Linked DNA regions of Oryctolagus cuniculus. The protein of the gene in region 2 interacts with the protein of the main gene of each other region in a biochemical or structural test. Links are inferred from orthologs where the notes say so. Each region holds a gene or a part of one and is shown on either strand. Other genes may lie near its edges.

Region 1 (4,260 bases), on a different chromosome or scaffold from region 2:
GCGATGGGGGGATGAGGGCACACAGTGAGGTGTTGGGATGTTTCTGCCTTCCCTAAAAACTTTCATATTGTGGTGCCCAGTGATCTGCTGTCCGTTCTTCACGCTGTTAAAATCAAACGAGGGTCGAACGTCCCTTGCGGTTTGGGACTTGCGCGTATGTGTCGGAGCACCGGGCCTCAATTCTGTCTGTGCTCCCAATTCTAGCTGCCGGCTAGCGGGCTCGAGGCAGTGGTGATGGCGCAGGTAGCTGCATTTCTGCCATTCGTGTGGGAGCCCAGATTGAGTTCCAGCTCTGATTGGCCTGCCCAGCTTTGCCTGTTGTAGGCATTTGGAGAACGAACCAGTGGATGGGTGCGGGTGGGGGCGAGGGGGAGCTCGCTTCAGTGCGCTCACCATCTTGCTCTCTTTTCCCTCTCCCCTACCCTCTCCCTCCCCATTCCCTTCTCTCCTTCCCCCTCCTCTCTGCCTTTCAAAGTAATTAATTAAAAATTGAAACCAAGCCGAGTAGATGTTTTAGGGGATTTTCTTTATGCCCTTGGGCACGTGGGATCACTGGCCAGCTGATTGAGCACTAACGTGTCTGAGAATGTCAACCATCGACGTGCACCGTCCCTTCGGTGGGTGGTAGCTCTCTTCTTGGAGACCAAGTCCGAGAGCCCTCCGTCCCGGGCAGCTGCACACTCGATTGCTTTGTGCTGACGAAGCTTGCTTTCGTTTGCTCAGGTCCTAATGCCGGCCTCGATGGTCTTATTCCGTGGACGAGGTTCTGCAAGGTGGGTAGCGGGCGAGTGTTGCGCTCTGTGGGGGCGGTTACTTCACTGTTTGCTTTTCTTGGCATTCTCACCAGGCCCTCCAAGCCCCAGGGCACGCTGTGCAGGAGGCTGGTCTCCAAGCCAGAGCCTCACAGGAAGCACCTGCCGGGTGATAACATTTTTTCACACCCGAAATGAGCCTTCTGTTAGCTCACTTCAGCCCCTTGCCTGGCAGCGTTTTGGGCCCCTTGATGTGAACTGTGTGCTTGGGGCTGTGTGAGTTTCCCTGGCCTTGCAGGAGCAGACAGGGTTCAGACTCTGCGGGGGTCACCCAGACTGTGGCCTGCCAGCTGTCCTGGCCCTTCCTGGTGTGGGGCAGCTGCTGCTTCTGTCCCCCCACCCCACGCCCGGAGATTATTCCTGACTGTTTTGCTACTGGGTGTGGAGGGAAGTGGATCCCAGCCCAGGGAAATGGAAGAGAGAAGAGCTCCAGGTCCGAAGGCTGATAAGGGAGAGGGCCCCTGCAGCCATCCGTCAGCGTGGGTTCTTTGGGTTTGATGGGGACACTTGGGTCTTTGGCAGCTGGCCCGGGTCGGGGGTGGAGGGGCAGTGGGAGGGGCATGACAAGTTACTATCTTGGATTTCTTTGTTCCTAATGTGTACCTTTGTATACTTTCAGGAAAATATAAGTGACAAAAATTTCTCCTTCTGGCTGTGGATTGAAAACATCCTAGAACTGATTAAAAAGCACCTGCTGTGTCTATGGAATGATGGGTAAGAGCCCCCGATGGGTGTGCCCTTGACACCTGTTCATTGCACGACCTAACCTTCCCCAAGCTGGTCTCCGTTACTTGACGAGACCTGTCCCTTCCAGGCTTCATGGGTGGACCCTCACGAGGTTAAACTGATACTTTTCTTTGTGTTTGTTTAATGGGAAGGACTCGAAAAAGTTCATGGGAAAGTGGAATTAAAAGTTTGACTTGATTTTGATACAGAAAAACTTCAGTGCAAAGGAAATGTTTTTTATACTATGTGGAAAATATAAAGTATGAAAAAGCTATGCATAGATTTTGAAATTATTTTTGCACCAACAGAAATGCATACTTTAAATGCCTCCTTTGTCCACATTTTGAAGTACATGCAACAAAAGTTTCTTGAGGGCCTACTATGTTGTCCCTGAAGAAGGAAAATCCCTTTTTAACTTAGCAAATTGTTTCTATCTAACTTATTCTAAAGATCAGCCATATTTCAGCAAAAGCTTTAAATTGATCAAAAGGGCCAGAATATGCAAATTTACTCAAGTCTTCCTGTCCAGAATAAAAGTTGCATAAATTGAGAGCTTTTCGTGGCTTTTAGGATCACCAAGTGGCAATAAAAGGCTCGTGAGTCCAGCATGTGTTCATTGAGCACCTGTTCATCCCACTTACGCCATGCTCATGGGTGCGTTTCCTTTTTTACTTAAGCATGTGCAAGCATACGTGAAACGCGCCCTTAAATGTGAAAGACGTGCAAAAACTGTCCATCCAGCCATTTCTGGCCTCTGGTCTCTGGTCAAGTCCCCATCACTTTCTTGGTTTGTAAAGTGAACACGAACGTTAAAGCTGTGATTGAACCGGAGCCCCTCCCTCCACCTCTGCTTGTCCAGGTGCATCATGGGCTTCATCAGCAAGGAGCGAGAGCGCGCCCTGCTGAAGGACCAGCAGCCCGGCACGTTCCTGCTGCGGTTCAGCGAGAGCAGCCGGGAAGGCGCCATCACGTTCACGTGGGTGGAGCGGTCCCAGAACGGAGGCGGTGAGTGCAGGGCAGTGGGGCTCACTCTGTGACCTCCTTCACAGCTCAGGCGCGCGGTGGGATTGCAGAGCCCCCGCTCCCCCGGCTGAGCCCCTGCATATGGTTTACAAAACCACTGTGGACAGTGGGGGCTCGCGCCTGGAACAGATCGGGGAAGTGATAGGTTTTTTTCAGACAAGGCCAAATCCTTTCCTTTTGGTCCAGTTTATTATCTGTGGATCAAGGATGTGACTCAACATCATCTGCAGCCAGGACTTGGAAGGAGTTGCGTTCCCCACGGGCATGATGTCGGCTTCCACCTCGCCTAGCGTAACCCCAGAGTGGAACGCACGGTGGAGGACGGGCCTTGGGAGAAGAGCCCGCGGGCGATTTACACGCCCCGAGCGGGCGTGTGTGCTCAGGGGCTCTCGGGAGGAGCTGCAGCTGTAAATTTGTCTTTCTCCTAAATTGGATGAAGGAGTCCTTGGCTAAACGACTCCAGAAAACCTTGGCATTATAAAGCGGATTTGTGAGGAGAAGGCTGAACAGCACAGATGAAAAATGTTAGCAGCAGAGCGGCCCCTGTTTTGTTGATTTGAGTCCGCTGTGTTTGAAGACTAGACAAGCCGGCTGTGCCAGCGACTCCTGTGCTTTGCGTGGGTAGAAGTGAAAGGACAGGATCCTTTTCTTGTTCTGCTTATATTTTTTCCCCATGATGAAAAAGCCGGGGCTGGGATCAGATCATGGTCTAGGCAGGTGCAGGCTCCTGCCTTCTCTTTTCCCTGATAGTTCATTTTCTGAACCAGCTGAGAGACGGAGCCAGCAAAGCACTCAGAGGTAGAAAACCCTTGGTGCAGGCTGTACAAGCTGCTCAGTGGACCGCTTTGTCCAGATTCATAAATCTAAGCAGATAGTGAGACGTGCTGTGTTTTAAAGTAGTGATTGCCTTTATTTTTCCTATTTGAAAGAATTAGAATTTATGTAGGAATAAAACTGTCCTCCATCAGTGTTGTAACTCCTAGAGTGTGATTAGCTCGTACCGGGTGCAGTCAAATCCACAAACTGTGCCGTGTTTTATGCTCTCTTGTTTGGCATGTTTCCCAGGACTCACTTGGTTCTTCTCCTTTCTAGAACCTTATTTCCATGCGGTTGAGCCCTACACGAAGAAAGAACTTTCTGCTGTGACTTTCCCTGATATCATCCGCAATTACAAAGTCATGGCTGCCGAGAATATTCCTGAGAACCCCCTGAAGTATCTGTATCCAAATATTGACAAGGACCATGCCTTCGGGAAGTATTACTCCAGGCCAAAGGAAGGTGAGTGGGGTTGCGAGGAGAGCAGCACACGCGGTCCCCCGGTCCCCTGGTGCTGAAGGGCTGGCTCGCCGGCAGCGTCAGCAGCCACACTGCCTTTGTCTTCAAGGGGAAGGAGCCAGCACAGGCTCCACCCAGCCTGTGACATGAACCCCCCACTCCCTTTGAACTGCTACAGGCTGCATGCATGCATGCACAGGGTGGTGTGAGCTCAGTGCAGCTGAAGTACAGTCATTATTTGGTCTGATACAGTCAGTGAGAAACGAATGGTTAATCTCCTATTTTAGGGGTGTTGGAAATGTCCATTTGTGGTTTGTGTATCTGTTACACATCACTTTTTCCACGTGGAAAGCGGTAAAGTGTAGGGGACGTGGCCAACTTGCTCGTGTTAAACTTGAGGAAATGGAGGCCAGGGAGGCGTGGA
Region 2 (4,260 bases):
CTAGTGTTAGTGTTGATTGAAGTGGAAGATTTTTGCCATTGTGTACAGGAAGTCATAGAAAACGTGAATTATTTCTGGTTATTGCCAACTTTATGAAGTTAATGGGGATAAATTACAGCTAAATGGGCATTTTTTTTTACAGCTTTATTAAGGTATCCTTGACATAGAGTGAATTGCATATATTTATAGTGCACAGTTTGATAATACAAATGGAACCATCATTATGATAAAAATAATTACATCTGTTACCCATAAAAGTTTAATAAAGTTATCTGGATTTGATTGCTCTTCCGTGTTTACATGCTTAATGAGCTGAGTAAGCCATTTGAATTTCTGACTTCTAACAGTCGAGGGTTATATGGAATGGCTGCTTAGGCAAGGGGATTCATCCCTAAGATGAAGATTGTAAAAAATGGTTCTTTACCCCTCTGTTTATTGTGAAATTTAGAATATTATTGATCATCTTATCTCAGTTCCACAACTGTTTCATTTGGTTCCTTGATGAATGAATTGGGGAATATTAATAATCCATGTATAAAATGTTGGTTAACGACTCTATAACTTTAACAGATGTTATTGTGATATGCTGGAATATTTTTTGAAAGACTTATGAAGGAATTAAACTATGTAACTGTCCTTAATTAATAATTCTTTCACAGGCAGTCTGGGCTCTAGGCAACATTGCTGGAGATAGTACTATGTGCAGGGATTATGTCTTGGACTGCAATATCCTTCCTCCTCTTTTGCAGTAAGTTCTTTCTTTTTGCTTTTCTTTCTTTTGAAAAATAAAGATATGGAATTCCTCAGAAAGTAGTATCTCTTTGGAAATCATTTTGGGCTTCCTGTTAATTTTCTTTCCAGATGTTTTCTCGTTAACTTGTTCAGATCATTTGTTCAAACACCTGTTTTATTCCAGTGCCAAAATTCTGAATTAGTTACATTATAATTAAATAAGTTATTCCACAGGAAAACTATTTGAGGATATCTGTTTATCAGTAACATTAAATAGTGTTTATATTTTATGCCATCAGAGAATTAATGTCTATTACATAATTTAGTATCATATATATTATATATGTATATATATATATCTATATCTATCTGTATCTACATATATATATATATATCTTGCTTTTAGGTTATTTTCAAAGCAAAACCGCCTGACCATGACCCGGAATGCAGTATGGGCATTGTCTAATCTCTGTAGAGGGAAGAGTCCACCACCAGAATTTGCAAAGGTGAGGATTTGCGTGGGAAATTAGGCAGAAAAAATGCAATTGAATAATATGGCAACCAATATTAGTGTTCGAAAGTGCAGCCAGGACTTAAACCGGTGCCCATATGAGATGCTAGCACTGCAGACAGTGGCTGTACCCACTACGCCACAGCACCAGCCTCATCCAGTATTAATGTTTATCGAAAGATTATTTTGGTAAAATTTAAAATAATAAAAAGGTTTTTCAGTTTCTAGAAAAGGCGGACTCTTTGTATTTATTTGTTTTTATTTGGAATTATTTTTTCTCTGTTTTAAAAATCCCTGAATTCATCTTAAAACCCCCTAGCATTTTTTTCTTTGTAACAAACTTGGTATCTAAAATACCAAGTTTCCTAGTTCCTTTACCTCTTCAGCTTACAAATAGTGCATTTTGAGGAAGAACCTCATTGTAAGAATTTGCTTCTGAAATTACTTTTCTTGAGCTTTGACTGCCTCATCATAATAAGCTGCAAAATTTGTTAGATAAGAAGGTGGAGACTTCCAGACCCGGACAGGCTGGGCCTGTACTACGCCCCTCATAAGCAAGAAGCAGCTATAGAAGATATGATTCTGTGCCCTTCAACATCCCTTAGGATTAAGAGAATGGAGTTTCTGAGAGGGTAATGATGTAGGCAGGTATATAGGATAAAATCGATCAGGTTTGTTAACTGGAAGACCACGCCTTCACCATGCCCCTGTGTGACCTCATGCCCCTACCTGGCCACACATGTGTGACCACCAGCCAATCAGACTTGCCTTTGGACGTGGATTAAAGGCTTGGGACACGGTGGGCCCAGCCTTTTTTTCAGGGGGTGGGGGGACTTTTTGCCATTGTGGGCCCTGGCTGCTCTACATTTCCTGGCCTGCATGCTCCTCCACATGGCTGGTTCCTGGTACATAGTATGAATCCAAATTTCCCTCTCTTAGATGGGGCCTGCACTCTCCTATGCATTTCTCCCACTGAATAAAAAGCTTAAAAACTTTAAAAAAGCTGCAAACCACTGGCAGCATTCCTAAGGATGGAAATGCCACTTAGTCACTTGCTGCTCCATTTCCAGAAGTGTAAATCACCTAGTGTATGACTTACTGCCTTCTGGAGTGTTTCATCTCCTTTGTCTTTTATCCTGTTAAATTTCATAATCATTCTATCTTCCTTTCACAGGTTTCCCCCTGTCTGAATGTGCTTTCCTGGTTACTGTTTGTCAGTGACACTGATGTACTGGCTGATGCCTGCTGGGCCCTTTCATATCTATCAGATGGACCCAATGATAAAATTCAAGCAGTCATTGATGCAGGAGTGTGTAGGAGACTTGTGGAGCTACTGATGTAAGATATCATTCAGAAAATGCCTGCTTGCCCCTTCTCCCATGCTACTAGTTTTCTATTTGCTAATAATTAAATATTAGTTGTATATTATACTGATAAATAGTGCTTTTAGGCTAGTGTTCTTTTGTTACTTGTTTATGTCCATATCAGATTGTTTTGGTATTTTGGTTTTAAAGAATCTCTCAGGTTTCTGCTCTAGCAGTCCTTCAGTGGAAACATTTGGAACACTGATCTGTATAGTTTCAGCTCATACTGGATAACTTCAGACCAACCACTCGGTATCAAAAGGCATATTGCCACTAAAAATTGTCATTCCTATTCTGTCTTCTTTAGCATTTAGATTAGTGTCAGACATTTAATCTTATTTTATTCTCTTTGGGGTGCCTTTGATGATGTAATGGAAGATTTGCTAGTAATGTAAATGATTTGAGACTGTTTCAGATTTTCAGGTAGTCCAATAGAAGAAAAAATAAAATAATTTAATGAAGGAAATCTACAATTATAAGGAGCATAAAATTTAATTGAAGTGCAAAGCAGATGCCAGGGGACATTGTCTCACATGTGGCATGTGGATTGGGTTACATAAATTTAATGCACAAAATACAAGACTTTGGGTTTATAGTTGACCATAGGCTGGGTGCAGATTAGTAACATTGTGCTGTTGTGGATTAGAAGCAACATGATGGTTCAGGACTCAGTAGTATAGCATTTAAAATCTGGAAAGTTATTGTATTCTTTAGTCATTAGGTTCATACATGCTTTAAACCATTTATTTTTTAGTTATCAGATATTAAGTAAGAAGGAACTGCTACACTTTTGAGAAGGTAATCAATCTCGTTAGAGGAGAGAGCAAATAGGACCTTGAAGGAAAGTTAAAGGGCATTATTTAGCTTGACATTAGGACTTAATTTCTTTCTTCAAATGTATAACAAAAGCTTCATATGGATGGTTTTTTGACCAGTGAAGACATAGTAGCTTTAGTAGAAAAAGTTCAGTATTGAAGTATGAATTCTACCTTGATTTTTCAAGGTAGTTTAAGTGTCTAGTCTGTGAAGACTAGACAATTTATATAACTTAAAATTGTGCGAATAATCACTGTTGCTCTCCATTATCACAAAAAACCAGGTAATAAGGACATGAGACCTGTGTTAAAGAAAGTGAGGGTAAATTTGAAATCCACTTGATCTGGGAAAGATTATTAGGAAAGATTTGCAAGTTTTTCTCCAAAAATAAATTCCATCATCTTGATAGTACCTTTCTGCCCTTAAATCCTATCACACATTATTTCTTTTGTATTTTGGTCCTAAGGAAAAGAGACCATGGTTAGAACTGTTGGCTGTAATGTTTCTTTTTATGATTACAGGCATAATGATTATAAAGTGGTTTCTCCTGCTTTGCGGGCTGTGGGAAACATTGTCACAGGAGATGATATTCAGACACAGGTATGAATAAGTGGCAGTTTGTTTTTTGTCAAAACAATATGTTGAGCTCTGTTATTTCTTTATAATATTTAATTCTATTTAATTAGGCCAATATTTGTTTAAAATGTTATCTTGGGCATGTACTCTTATAACCTTCACTATCTCTTGACCTATTGTAGCACTTTTGAGTCCCCCTATGATAATGACTTTTCTTTGGGTCAGGCAGATTTGTCTCACTCTACTCTTGGAATGGTTCTT
Region 3 (4,796 bases), on a different chromosome or scaffold from region 2:
TAGGAAAAACTGCATGACTTTCAAAATCTGATTTTTATTTGAAAGGCAGAGAGAGCGAGCTTCCACCTGCGTGCTCCCTTTCCTGTATGGTGGCAGGGACCCAAGCCCCTCAGCCATCATCTGCAGCCATCTGGGGTGCTCATTTGCAGGAAGAAGGCGCAGGCGCAGAGTGGCTGGTCTCAAACCTGGTGCCGCGGTGTGGGGTGCAGGCAGCAGCCCCGCTGCTGGAGCACAGGCCCACCCCGGGCTTCAGAGGGCTCTTGTCCTAAAGCAAACTGTAATGCCATTTTCTGTGAACTTTTTTACGTGCCCTTGTACACGGGATGCCTTGATTTGGGGGCCTGAGGTTTAGCAGAAGGGCAGGCTGAAGAGGGACCTGTTTCTGAGCCCAGGTTGACGCCTTTAAGCTCCAGGGTGTAGAAGGAGCAGCCTGGGTCTGAGTTCACATCGTTACATGATAGCTGTTACTGCCCAGGAGCTTCTCCCGAGTCTTTGTCCCTGAACCAGCCAAGTGGCTGAGTGAGTTTAGCTGGAAGTCAGTAGTGAAGTGCAGCGAAGGGTTGTGGCCTGGGCTGGTTAATTGCCTGGAACGATGGTCTTTATCTCATGAGGTCAGACTTGCAAACGGAGTTGAGATGGCGCATCCAGCATCATTCGGGGAAAACATCATTTGCTGTGTTGCACCCATCCTGTTAATATAACTTTAGAACCACATCTGTGCCATCGTGGTTATCCTTACTTGTATATGAATTGCTTTGCATGTCCTAAATTCCTCTGACCAAAAGTAGATGTGGTTTTTCTGGGTACAGACTCCTGGGAGGGAGATTGTGTGTCTAGTTTTCCCACTGGACTTCTGCTTCCTGTTCAGGGCCTGGTTTTGTTGTTGCTGGCCAACAGTGGGCTCAGGGCTGTTCTCAGGCCCAGTGTGAGTAGAGCAACAGACACAGGTGGTGCTCTGGGTTAGTCACAACCTAGGAGGACGGCTAGGCAGACGGTGTCAGTCTCCGCAGCCAGGGCATCACTTTGGCTGTGGGGCAGGAGTGTTTAGAAGCCTGTGGATGCCCTGTGCCAGAGACACAGCTTCTCCTGCAAAGATCTAGAATTCCTCTGTAGCAGGCCAGGAGTCAGCTACTTGTGTAGTGGAGGAAGGTCGGTGACAGCATCCTCTCGTGGGTGGGCTGGTGAGAATGCCGGCAAGCGTGGTGTGGCAGAGCCCTGCTGGCGGTGGGTCCCTGGGAAGTCCCCGCACTGGAGAGGAGACTTTGTTTGCTGAGGTCTTTCCTGGTTGCTTAGGTTCACATGAGCCCTTTGCCCATTTTGAGGAGTGCTCATGTGACCAGCGTGCTCTTTAAGGTAATGTGTCAGCAGGAGACGGCCTCCTGCTCCAGGCGGTGTGTCAGCCTCTGATCAGTCCTGTCTCTGCCTCCAGTCTCCCGGGACCCACAACCTCAGAAGCCATGTCGAAGTCCCACAGTGAAGCCGGGTCTGCCTTCATCCAGACGCAGCAGCTGCACGCAGCCATGGCGGACACATTCCTGGAGCACATGTGCCGGTTGGACATCGACTCCGCGCCCATCACGGCCCGCAACACGGGCATCATCTGTACCATCGGTGAGCCTCGGGGACCGAGTCCGGGAAGGAGCGCGCATTGTGCGTTCTGCTGGGGGTGAGCGTCCCCAGCTCAGAGGCCTAGGCCTATGCCACCAAGATGGGCAGAGGGCTGGCCAAGCTCTTAACCTGGGCTTTCCTGACTGTAGGGGGCTACAGACCTGTGCAGGGCGTGGGGAGAGGTGTTCCCCTAAATCAAGAAAGCAGGCTAGCACATCGACGGCCGTGAGTGTGCTCTCTGAAAGACTTGCGTTATTTGGGGGAGGAAACCGAGGAAGCGTTTCTTTGAGTCACTGACGCTGTGCCGCAATATGTAACAGGCCCTGCCTCCCGATCGGTGGAGACGCTGAAGGAGATGATCAAGTCTGGGATGAACGTGGCGCGCATGAACTTCTCCCACGGGACTCACGAGGTGAGCCTCGGCTGTAGGCGACAGGGAGGAGTGCCTTGTTCACTTAGGGTGGGCTCCACAGATTCCAGTCTGGGTGTCCCAGCCCTAGGCTCCTGCCCTGAGCTCTCTGCAGCTTGGTTCTGGCCCAGTTCAGGCTGCAGAGAGCTGGGCAGGCGCCCAGAGGTTTCCACTCTGGCAGGCGAGTGCCCCGCCCGTCAGCACTGTGCCCCCAGCCTCGCCCTCTCCAGAGGTTCTGCTGCACGGACAGAAAACCAGCCGGCGAGTGTTCGCGCTGGAGCTGTTGGCCGTGGCAGGAAGCGGCGCTCTGAGGGTGCTGGGGTTCCCTGAGGGGCCGCAGTCGTGGGGCTTCATTTCGGCATTGGTAGAGGAGTAATGGGCAGGCTGACGTTGCCCTCTCTTGCCCTCTGTCCTTTCCTCCTCTGAGGTCAGTGGTGAGGGTCACTCTCTGGCATTTGGAAGCTGGTGTTAAGTTTGGACTAAAAATAAGCCCTCGGGCAGTGCAAACCGCGGGGTGAATTCTTGCTTTCTGGAAACATGAGACTTGACTCTCCATGGTAAATGCTGCAGCCCCTAACTCTGGGGCCCAGCCAGGGCCAGCAGGCACCTCGGGCAGCCTGAGGCGCATCCTGGGCTCTCACCAGGAATTGCTGCGTGTGTCACCCTGCCCAGAGGGCCAAGGCAGCAGTGAGGATCAGTTCACCTTTGACCCCTGCTGCCGGAGTCTGCTGTGGGCCCTGCCTGCGGGTGAGGAGCAGAAATAGATTTGGAGGCGCTGATCTTTCAGCCGCTGCGCGCTCCCTCCACCAGTAAAACAACACCGCCCCACTCGGAAATGGCAAGGGCTGCACCTGTCGCACGAGGGCGTGGGTCTGTGCTTCTGATTCTTATTCCCAGATTAAAAGTGGGATGAAAAAGGAAAGAAGCGCAGTGCCTCTGGTGGTTTAGGGTCAGGCCCAGGTGAGCTTCCAGGGTCAGCATCTGGGAAGCGGGCCTGAGGTGCTGAGGTGTGGACTGACGTGACCGCCTTCCCCCTCCTCACCTGGCAGAGGCACGTCTGCTTCTGTGTCTGGGCTTTTGTTTTTTTAATTTATTTAATTCTATTTGAAAAACAAACAGATTTTCCCACTGATTTATTCTCCAAATGCCTGCAGCAGCCAGGAGGCAGGACTCGGTTCAGGTCTCCCGCATGGGTGGCAGGGGCCCGCACACTTGAGCCCCGTCACCTGCTGCCATCCAAGGCGTGACGAGAACCAGGACTCAACCCCAGGCCCTCCGGTATGGGATGCACACATCCCAGGTGCTGTCTCCAGTGCTCAGTCCAACACCTTGTCTCTGGCAGCTCTGACCGTGTCCCTAGCCCCCGCCCTGGCAGCTCATGTGGACCATCTGTTCTTGCTGAACATGCAGTTCCACAACGCCAGGCTGGCCAGAACTGACTCTGACATAATCTAAATTTAGAGCCTTCCACAGGGCAGCAGTAATGGTGGGGTGGGCACCACTCCGCAGATAATAAGCAGCCCAGCCCCACCCCAGCCAGCACCCTGTCAACCATTTAGAATGTTTATGACATAAGATTTTACATCCCCAAGACCAAAAATGGCATGTTTATATACTTTGAGTTGCAAAAAGTATTTTCTGTCACTCACCAAAAAACTTCAAGTTCCATAAAAGTAGAAATTTTACAGACACATGACCTGACATAATTTTTTAGAATTGTTTGAAAGGTAGAGGCAGAGCGACATCTCTGATCTTCCCAAATGTCCATAGCAGCTGGAGCTGAACCAGGCCAGAGCTGGGAGTCCGGAACTCACTCTGGGTCTCTGTACAAGGCAGGCAGGGACCCAGGCACTTGAACCATCACCTGCTCTGTCCATGCACTGTGTTGTCAGGAGGCTGGATCGGAAGTGCACCTGGGACTCAGGCGTGTCTTCAGTGGATTCTTGACTGCTGTGCCACACTCAGCCCTGACTTTTTTTCATGGAAATCAAGATCAGTATAGAGTGTGATAATCAGGAGAGCTTCAAAACTCGTTCTAGAACCAGAAGCCGTGGCACCGGCAATAAATAAATCTTTAAAAAAAAGTTAAAGAAAAAGAATTTGTAAGACCATGGCTTGATGAAATAGAAGATTGAAAAATTAAGCTGAGATCTGATTCTTTGTGGGAAACAGTAAATCAGAAATCTCAGGAAGGCCTGGTCAAGAATACGAGGATGGGGGCCGGCGCTGCGGCTCACTGGGCTAATCCTCCACCTTGCGGTGGCGGCACACCGGGTTCTAGTCCCGGTTGGGGCGCCGGATCCTGTCCCGGTTGCCCCTCTTCCAGGCCAGCTCTCTGCTGTGGCCAGGGAGTGCAGTGGAGGATGGCCCAAATGCTTGGGCCCTGCACCTGCATGGGAGACCAGGAGAAGCACCTGGCTCCTGCCATCGGATCAGCGCGGTGCGCTGGCCACAGCGCATCGGCCGCGGCGGCCATTGGAGGGTGAACCAACGGCAAAGGAAGACCTTTCTCTCTCTCTCTCTCACTGTCCGCTCTGCCTGTCAAAAAAAAAAAAAAAAAAGAATACGAGGATGGGGAGGGAATTGTGGCGCAGAGGCTTAAGCCTCCACTGGGACCCAGACACCTCATATCAGAGCACTGGTTTGGGTCTCACTGGCTCTACTTTTTTCTTTATTTATTTTTAAAGATTTATTTTATTTGTTTGAAAGAGTTACAGAGAGAGGTAGAGGCAGAAGAAGAGAGGAGTCTTTCATCTGCTGGTTCACTCTCCAGATGGCC
Region 4 (3,745 bases), on a different chromosome or scaffold from region 2:
CCATGTCTGTCCCCAGCGGCCTCAGGCTACGGGACCCAGAACATTCGACTGAGCCGGGACGCGGTGAAGGATTTTGACTGCTGCTGCCTGTCTCTGCAGCCCTGCCATGATCCTGTCGTCACGTGAGCTGCGGACGGGGCGGGCGGGGGCTGCAAGGGGACAGCGCCCAGGGGCCCTGCTCCTTGGCCCTCGCCGGGGGGGGGGGGGTGTCTGCAGGGGGGCGGAGGGCGCTGGAGCACGCCTGGCCCCCAGCGAGCACACGGCACTGCCTGCCGCTGGCGTGCCGGCACGGAGCTCAATGAGATACTGGGGTAGCAGTATGTCCCACAGGAGCGTGATGAGAGCAGATGGCTCCTCGCGTCCCCAGCCACTGACCGCTGCTTAAGGTGGACCCAGATAAAAATCAACAGCGGGAAAGGAGCGCACGGGGCTGAGTGAGGAGACCCGGGCCGGAGCCTCCGCGGCTCCTCCCAGCGCAGTCGCGTGGCTGCTGGCTTCTGCAGCCCCAGAGACGCGCACCCCGGCCTCGGCGCCCAGGTCCCAGGGGACCGGCTGACCGCCGCATGGCCGGCCTTCCTCTCCGGTCACCCAAGGGACAGGACATTCCAGGGCCTTCGAGGGCCGTGCCCAGGGTTCCGCAGCCCAGGCCTGCGAGGGAGCCCTTGGCTGCCCTCCCGTGCTGGTCGGCGGTGCCCGGGCAGGGAGCTGACCCCGAGCCCCTGCCTGTGCGCCTGGGCCAGGGCCGGGCTCTCCTCATCCCGCCTTCCCTTGGCAGCCCCGACGGCTACCTGTATGAGCGTGAGGCCATCCTGGAGTACATCCTGCACCAGAAGAAGGAGATCGCCCGACAGATGAAGGTGAGGGGGGCGGCTCCGATGCTGAGCGTCCCGCGCCCCGCGCCCTCCCGTCTCGGTTCCTCTTCCGCCGGGGCCTTTGCCGGGCTGTTCCCCTCCCACTTCCCCTGGTTGATTTCAGCTGCTGCGTCCAGGGCCCCCAGGGCCTGCCCTAGTCACCATCCCTCCTCCCTCCCTCGGGCTGTGTCACAGCAGTACCTGCTTGGGGCTGTCTGACGGGCTCCACCCCAGGGGCGGGGCCGAGTGTTGCCCACCTTGCAGTCCTAGGCCCCTGGCAAAGACTTGCTGGATGAGTGGCCCTGTCTTCATTTCTCTGGGCCTCAGTTTTAGCATCTGTGAAATGGGCTCCCGGGGCCACATTAGAAGGCACTGCAGGGCACGTGGGAGATGCACACAGCAAGAATTCCCGAGGTGTTTACTCAGAGCCAGGCCCGGCCTCCAAGGACGAACCATCTGCATTTTGAGACCCACTCCTCTAAGAAGTCTTTGAAAGAAGTGGGAGTTAGGGAGACGGCCCGGGGGGTTCACCAAAGCACTCTTAGCTTGAATTCTGTGCACAAAGTTTTCCCGGCACCCGCACAGACATGCACTCAGCACTCAGCACTCAACAGGCAGGGCGCCTCCGCCACTGTGAGCCCATTTCGCAGAGGGAGAAGCCGAGGCTGGGAGAGTTCCCCCGCGGCCGCGGCCGGCGCAGAGGTGACGGAGTCGGGGCTTCCGCCCTGGCACTCTGGCTCTAGGGCACGACGCGCAGTCCCGGACTAGCCCAGCGAGGAGTGCCTGGCGTCCTGCAGTAGGGGAGGAGGCACAGATTCCCCATCCCCCCGCAGTGCCTCAGCTGCCTTCCCTGAGCGGCCCCGCCCTGGGGAACTGGGGAGTCTGCAGCCCCCAGCCCGCGCCGGGGCGTCCTGGGCCTCAGCCTCTCGCGCCCTCGCCCCGCCCGCAGGCCTACGAGAAGCAGCGGGGCGCCCAGCGGGAGGAGCAGCGGCAGCTGCGGCGCGCTGCAGCGCAGGACCAAGTGCGGGGCTTCCTGGAGAAGGAGGCGGCCATCGTGAGCCGGCCCCTCAACCCCTTCACGTCCAAGGCCGCCGCGGGGCCCGGCGCAGGTGGCAGGGAGTGGGCTGGCGGGCGGGAGGAGCCCGAGCCCGCGCTTCCCCGAGCCGGCACCCGAGCCCCCGCTTTCCCACAGAGAATGCACAAGCGGGGCCCAGCGAGGGGCCCCCGGGCCAGGACAAGGAGAAGGCGCTGCCCAGCTTCTGGGTCCCGTCCCTGACCCCCGAGGCCAAGGCCACGAAGCTGGAGAAGCCGGTGAGAGGGGCCGCCCCTCGGTGTCCCCGCGCCCGCGCGTCCCCGCACCTCATCCGCCGCGCCCTGACCCGACCTCCCCGCCCGCAGTCCCGCACCGTGACCTGCCCCATGTCCGGGAAGCCGCTGCGCATGTCCGACCTGACACCCGTGCGCTTCACGCTGCTGGACGACTCGGTGGACCGCGTGGGGCTCATCACGCGCAGCGAGCGCTACGTGTGCGCCGTGACCCGCGACAGCCTGAGCAACGCGACGCCGTGCGCCGTGCTGCGGCCCTCGTGAGCCCGGGGAGCCGGGGAGCCCGGGCCGGGCGAGGGGCGTGGCGGGGGGCCGGCGGGGCCCTGACCTGCGACCCCGCCCCGCCCCGTCCCGCAGGGGGGCCGTGGTCACGCTGGAGTGCGTGGAGAAGCTGATTCGGAAGGACATGGTGGACCCCGTGAACGGAGACCGGCTCACCGAGCGTGACATCATCGTGCTGCAGCGGGTGGGCTGCCCCGCCCCCTCTCAAGACTCCGCCCTCCCGCCCGGGCCCCGCCCCTGCCCCAGGCTCCGCCCTCCCGCCGCCTCTCCACAGGCCCCGCCCCTGCCCCGGCCGCCCCTTCTGACGGAGACCTGTCCGCAGCGATCCCCCCCAGTCATCTCGACCTGCGTAGGACCCTCCCCGCCCCGCCCCGCCGCGCCCTCACCCCGCTGTCTCCCTTCCCAGGGCGGCACCGGCTTCGCGGGCTCCGGGGTGAAGCTGCAGGCGGAGAAGTCGCGGCCGGTGATGCAGGCCTGAGTGCGAGGGGAGACCCACGAATAAACGGCTGGGAGCGCAGTCGCGCGTGGCGCCTTTCTTCGCGGGCGGGGCCCGAGGAGGGGCCGGGATGCCCGGGTGCTCCCGCGGAGTCTGACCCCAAGGCGGACGCACGGCGTTGACCCCCGGGGGGAGCGGCCAGGCAGAAACCCACCCTGACCTCCGCCAGGACCCCGAGGCTGGCCGAGCCCGGGCACCCGAGATGCCCCGGGAGATACGCAGCTCTGGCCGGGCACCCCTCCCGCGTGTCCGTCTCCCCCGCTCCCCACACGCCCCTCGCGGGCCCCAGCAAGCCCCCGCCCACCGCTTTGTACCCAGTGCCCACGTCCCCCCCCCCCCCCCCCCGTGTTCCTGAGCATTCCCGGCCACAGGCTTTCCCGAGACCCCTCACCCACGCGAGTCCTTGCCCAGCCCCGAGAGCCGCAGCCGCGTTCACGCGTGGCACAGGCCGCCCCCTCTCTGCCCCACCTGGACACGAACGGTCCTCCCGGCATGGCCTGGCTGCCCCCCCCCCCCACGTAACTCCCACGCCTTTATTGGAAACAGTGGCCTTGCTGGCCGCGAGGTGGGGCAGGGTCTGCTCGGAAAATAGGTCTGCTGTGGTCGGAGGCCGCGGCGTGACAAGGAGAGGAAGCGAGAGTGAAACGCAGCGCCGGCTGCGGCGGGCGCGCTCCGCACAGCGCACTGCCCCAGCGGCAGCCGATGGCGCGCGCGAGAGTCGGGAGGTGTGGGGTCGCCTAAGAAGGAGATTTAGCGGCCGGCGCCTGCCGTGCCAGCATCCCATATGGGT
Region 5 (4,260 bases), on a different chromosome or scaffold from region 2:
ATGGCCACAACAGTTGGCTCTGGACCAGGCTGAAGCCATCCTGGGTATAGGGGCCCAAGGAGTTGGGCCATCCTCAACTGCCTTCCCAGGAGCGTTAGCAAGGAGATGGATTAGAAGTGAAGCAGCCAAGACTGAAACCAGTGCCTGTATATGGGAAGCTGGTATTAGGTGGTGGTGACAGCAGCTTAAGTTGTGCCACAAAACTAGCCCCAACTTTATATTTATTGAGAGACAGAGTCAACATGAGTCTTAATCTTTGTTTTGTTTTGCTAATAACTGTTGTATTTGTAGGCTATGCCCACCCTCATAGAATTAATGAAAGACCCAAGTGTAGTTGTTCGAGATACAACTGCGTGGACTGTGGGCAGAATTTGTGAACTGCTTCCTGAAGCTGCCATCAATGATGTCTACTTGGCTCCCCTGCTACAGTGTCTGATTGAGGGCCTCAGTGCTGAACCCAGAGTGGCATCAAATGTGTGCTGGGTAAGGGGTTTTTTCCTGGTGAGAGAAAAGGAGTTTGCCTGAACCATGGCAAGAAAGTGGGAGGTGAGGGGTGAGGGGGAGAAATGGACCTACCTCACTGGAAGACTTTTTTGGAATAGCATCTCCTTTTTGATTTCCTCAGTTAAAGTGCGGGGGAGATGCCACCCACAGGAGCCAGTGGGAGCTGTTGACTCATGGCAACTGGCTCCCGAACGACTTAGAGCAGTCGTAGTAACGCAGCAGAGAAACTCTGTGGAGTTGCTTTTCTTTCTTGAATTGCTTGGGGAGAAGAAATTTTGATTAAGGGTGAGATTTGTTGGCTACAAGAAGCATCATTGCTGAGAAGAGAGAAAGGGAAGGAAGGTAGGCGGCCTAAACGCTGAGTCAGTGTGGGCTGCATGTAATTGATTGGGGCTTTTGAGGGAATGGGAGAGAAGTGCTAATGAGGGAGGAGTGGGGCAGGAGCCTTCCTGTACATGAGAGGTGAGATGGCAGCCCCTGGGGTAGGTGAAGGTTTCTGTTCCCTCGGAATCTCCCCAAGGGGTGGCGCCTGGGCCGCCAGCGGCTGCTTTCCCAGGCGCATTAGCAGGGAGCTGGATCAGAAGTGGAGGAGTCGGGACTTGAAACAGCACTCACTTGGGATGCCAGCATCCCAGGCAGCTGTTTAACTCACCCTGCCACAATGCTGGCCCTTGAATATTTTATTTTAAAGATACCTGTCAAATGTTAAGTTGTCTTGAGATGATCTTTTTTTAAAAAAAAAAAATTTTATTTGAAAGTCAGAGGAGAGGCAGAGAGAGAGAGAGTGTCTTCCATCTGATGGTTCACTCCTCAGTTGGCCTCAATGACCAGAGCTGCACCAATCCGAAGCCAGGAGCTTCTTCCTGGTCTCCCACATGGGTGCAGCGGCCCAAGGACTTGGGCCATCTTCTGCTTTCCCAGGCCATAGCAGAGTGCTGGATTGGAAGTGGAGCAGCTGGGTCTTGAACCGGCGCCTGTATGGGATGCCGGCGCTTCAGGCCAGGGTATTAACCCACTGTGCCACACTGCTGGCCCTTTGAGATGACCTTAACAGAAACATTGAAGATTCACTAGCTTTTATTCATTCTGAGGTCAATTGGAAAGAAACACTACCCAAGATGGCTTAGTTAGTGGGGGAGAGACAGAGTACTTCCCTCTGCTGGTTCACTCCCCAGATGACTGCAATGGCTGGGGCTTGACCAGACTGAAGCCAAGAGTTTCATCTGGGTCTGTGCTGTGGGTGGCAGGGGCCTAAACACTTGGCATTTCCGAGGACATTAAGAAGCTGGATCAGAAGTGGAGCAGCCAGGGCTCCAGTTGGTGCCCACATGGCATGACTGCACTGCAGGCAGTGGCTGTGTGCACCATGCCGCAACCCTGTCCCCTGGAGTGGGGTTTGTTTCAAGACTGATACTAAATCTCTGCGTTTCAGGCTTTCTCCAGCCTGGCTGAAGCTGCTTATGAGGCTGCAGATGTAGCTGATGATCAGGAGGAACCAGCCACCTATTGCTTATCTTCTTCATTTGAACTCATAGTTCAGAAGCTCCTGGAGACCACAGACAGGTAACTGATCTCCTGTACAGAAAGGTGTGATGTCTGGGTGCCCAACTCTGTTACACTGTGTGGAGAATGCGCAGCCTAATCACAGCAACATGAGACAGGAGCGCACTGTATCTGCTCTAGAGAGGTTGAAAGTACACTTAAGAAATTACTTGTTAGGCCGGCGCCGCGGCTCACTAGGCTAATCCTCCACCTTGCAGTGCCGGCACACTGGGTTCTAGTCCCCATCGGGGCGCCGGATTCTGTCCCGGTTGCCCCTCTTCCAGGCCAGCTCTCTGCTGTGGCCAGGGAGTGCAGTGGAGGATGGCCCAAGTACTTAGGCCCTGCACCCCATGGGAGACCAGGATAAGTACCTGGCTCCTGCCATCGGATCAGCGTGATGCGCCAGCTGCAGCACGCCGGCCGTGGCGGCCATTGGAGGGTGAACCAACGGCAAAGGAAGACCTTCCTCTCTGTCTCTCTCTCTCACTGTCCACTCTGCCTGTCAAAAAAAAAAAAAAAAGAAAAAAAGAAAAAAAGAGAAGAAAGAAATTACTTGTTTACAGGGGTGGGGAATGGCTAGCCCATGGACATATAAGTTCCATGAAATCATTTGGTCTGTACCTGCCAGGGCAACCACAGATGGGACTTGAAATTCAATAAATCTAGTTATTTATTAGCAAACTAATTTTTTAAGCAGGCTAATTTTTAAGTTGATAATTTTTAATTGTCTTCTAATGATATTACAAATACCCAGTGGCCCTTAACAGAAAAAAAGGGTTCTCTACTCCGAGTTTAGGTAAGAGTTGGGGTGGGGACTTGACCTAGCAGTTAGGATGCTGTATTCCGTATTGGAGCGCCTGGGTTTGAGTTTGATGCCTGGCTCGCTGTGGCTCCTGATTTCCAGCTTTCTGCTAAGGTGGTTCCTGAGATGCGGAAGTAATTGGGTTCTTACTGCCGTTTAAATGGGAGGCCTAGATTGAGTCCTTGGCTCCTGGACAAATCAAGATAGTGTCTGGCTCTCTACGAGAGTATACCCCACTTTTCTTCATTCACCAAGAGATGTCATTTTATACAATCTTGCACAGAGCAATGGGGAAGGACTAGTTAAACACGGAAGAATTTATGTCTGGTCCCTTCCTGATGGTTTACTTTTCAGTTCACACAAAACACAAAGATTAGAGGTTGTCCCTAAATTAGGATTCCATTACACATTTCAGAAAGCCCTATTTCAGACCTTTTGAGAGATACAGAGAGCTCCCAATCTGCTAGTTCACCCCAAATGCCCACAGTGGACAGGGCTGAAGCTGGAACCTGGAAGTGCAACCCAGATGCCCCACATGGGTGGCAGGAGCTTCACTGCGTGTGTGAACACCGCTGCCTTCCCGCATGTGCATGAGCAGGCAGCTGGATCCAGGAGCTAGAACTGGGGATGGAACCCAAGGACTCCAGGGTGCAACATGGGCACTTAAAACATTAATTTATGTGTTTGAAAGTCAAAATTAGAGAGGGAGAGACGTCGGGAGAGAGAGATCTTCTGTCAGCTGGTTCACTGCTTAAATGAACTCAGCAGCCTGGACTGGGCCAGGCCAAAGCCAGGAGCAAGGAGCTTCATCCGGTTTTCCCACATGAGAAGGGAGAGTAGGAGTGCTTTTCCAGGCACTTTAGCTTTTTTTTTTTTTTTTTTTTTTTTTGACAGGCAGAGGTTTTTTTTAGACAGTGAGAGAGACACAGAAAGGTCTTCCTTTTTCCGTTGGTTCACCCTCCAAATGGCTGCTGCAGCCGGCGCGCTGCGCCGATCTGAAACTAGAAACCAGGTGCCTCCTCCTGGTCTCCCATGCGGGTGCAGGGCCCAAGCACTTGGGCCATCCTCCACTGCCTTCCCGGGCCACAGCAGAGAGCTGGCCTGGAAGAGGAGCAACCATGACTAGAACCTGGGGTACCGGTGCCACAGGGGGAGGATTAGCCAAGTAGCCGCGTTGTCGGCCCTTTTTTTATTTGAGAGGCAGAGAGAACCTTCAATTTACTAGTTCACTCCCCAAATGGCTGCAACGGCCGAACCTGGCCTGATCCAAAGCCAGGAACCAGGACCTTTCTCCAGGTCTCCCATGTGGGCTCAGGGGCTCAAGGACTTGGGCCATCCTCCACTGCTTTCCCAGGTGCACAGGAATCTGGATTGGAAGTAAAAGCATCTGGGACTTGAACCAGCACCCATGG

What was found.
Region 1: the proteins of KPNA1 (region 2) and STAT1 form a complex in vitro, tested with the Homo sapiens proteins (2 studies listed by BioGRID). The link is inferred for Oryctolagus cuniculus from reciprocal best matches to the Homo sapiens genes KPNA1 and STAT1.
Region 3: the proteins of KPNA1 (region 2) and PKM form a complex in vitro, tested with the Homo sapiens proteins (2 studies listed by BioGRID). The link is inferred for Oryctolagus cuniculus from reciprocal best matches to the Homo sapiens genes KPNA1 and PKM.
Region 4: the proteins of KPNA1 (region 2) and NOSIP form a complex in vitro, tested with the Homo sapiens proteins (2 studies listed by BioGRID). The link is inferred for Oryctolagus cuniculus from reciprocal best matches to the Homo sapiens genes KPNA1 and NOSIP.
Region 5: the proteins of KPNA1 (region 2) and KPNB1 form a complex in vitro, tested with the Homo sapiens proteins (6 studies listed by BioGRID and IntAct, with this or other methods). The link is inferred for Oryctolagus cuniculus from reciprocal best matches to the Homo sapiens genes KPNA1 and KPNB1.

Annotation. Positions count from the first base shown.
Region 1 is NC_091434.1:49,329,069-49,333,328, forward strand, and holds part of STAT1 (signal transducer and activator of transcription 1-alpha/beta), read left to right. Parts: intron 1-723; coding exon 724-773; intron 774-1,431; coding exon 1,432-1,526; intron 1,527-2,397; coding exon 2,398-2,543; intron 2,544-3,653; coding exon 3,654-3,839; intron 3,840-4,260. UniProt on the Homo sapiens protein: Signal transducer and transcription activator that mediates cellular responses to interferons (IFNs), cytokine KITLG/SCF and other cytokines and other growth factors.
Region 2 is NC_091435.1:78,653,009-78,657,268, reverse strand, and holds part of KPNA1 (importin subunit alpha-5), read left to right. Parts: intron 1-659; coding exon 660-748; intron 749-1,138; coding exon 1,139-1,238; intron 1,239-2,417; coding exon 2,418-2,581; intron 2,582-3,944; coding exon 3,945-4,023; intron 4,024-4,260. UniProt on the Homo sapiens protein: Functions in nuclear protein import as an adapter protein for nuclear receptor KPNB1. Binds specifically and directly to substrates containing either a simple or bipartite NLS motif.
Region 3 is NC_091443.1:110,885,490-110,890,285, forward strand, and holds the start of PKM (pyruvate kinase PKM), read left to right. Parts: upstream 1-1,457; coding exon 1,458-1,611; intron 1,612-1,928; coding exon 1,929-2,020; intron 2,021-4,796. UniProt on the Homo sapiens protein: Catalyzes the final rate-limiting step of glycolysis by mediating the transfer of a phosphoryl group from phosphoenolpyruvate (PEP) to ADP, generating ATP.
Region 4 is NC_091449.1:7,909,461-7,913,205, forward strand, and holds the end of NOSIP (nitric oxide synthase-interacting protein), read left to right. Parts: intron 1-16; coding exon 17-122; intron 123-775; coding exon 776-857; intron 858-1,800; coding exon 1,801-1,960; intron 1,961-2,043; coding exon 2,044-2,162; intron 2,163-2,249; coding exon 2,250-2,437; intron 2,438-2,534; coding exon 2,535-2,643; intron 2,644-2,865; coding exon 2,866-2,937; 3' UTR 2,938-2,976; downstream 2,977-3,745. UniProt on the Homo sapiens protein: E3 ubiquitin-protein ligase that is essential for proper development of the forebrain, the eye, and the face. Catalyzes monoubiquitination of serine/threonine-protein phosphatase 2A (PP2A) catalytic subunit PPP2CA/PPP2CB.
Region 5 is NC_091448.1:24,006,027-24,010,286, forward strand, and holds part of KPNB1 (importin subunit beta-1), read left to right. Parts: intron 1-291; coding exon 292-483; intron 484-1,936; coding exon 1,937-2,067; intron 2,068-4,260.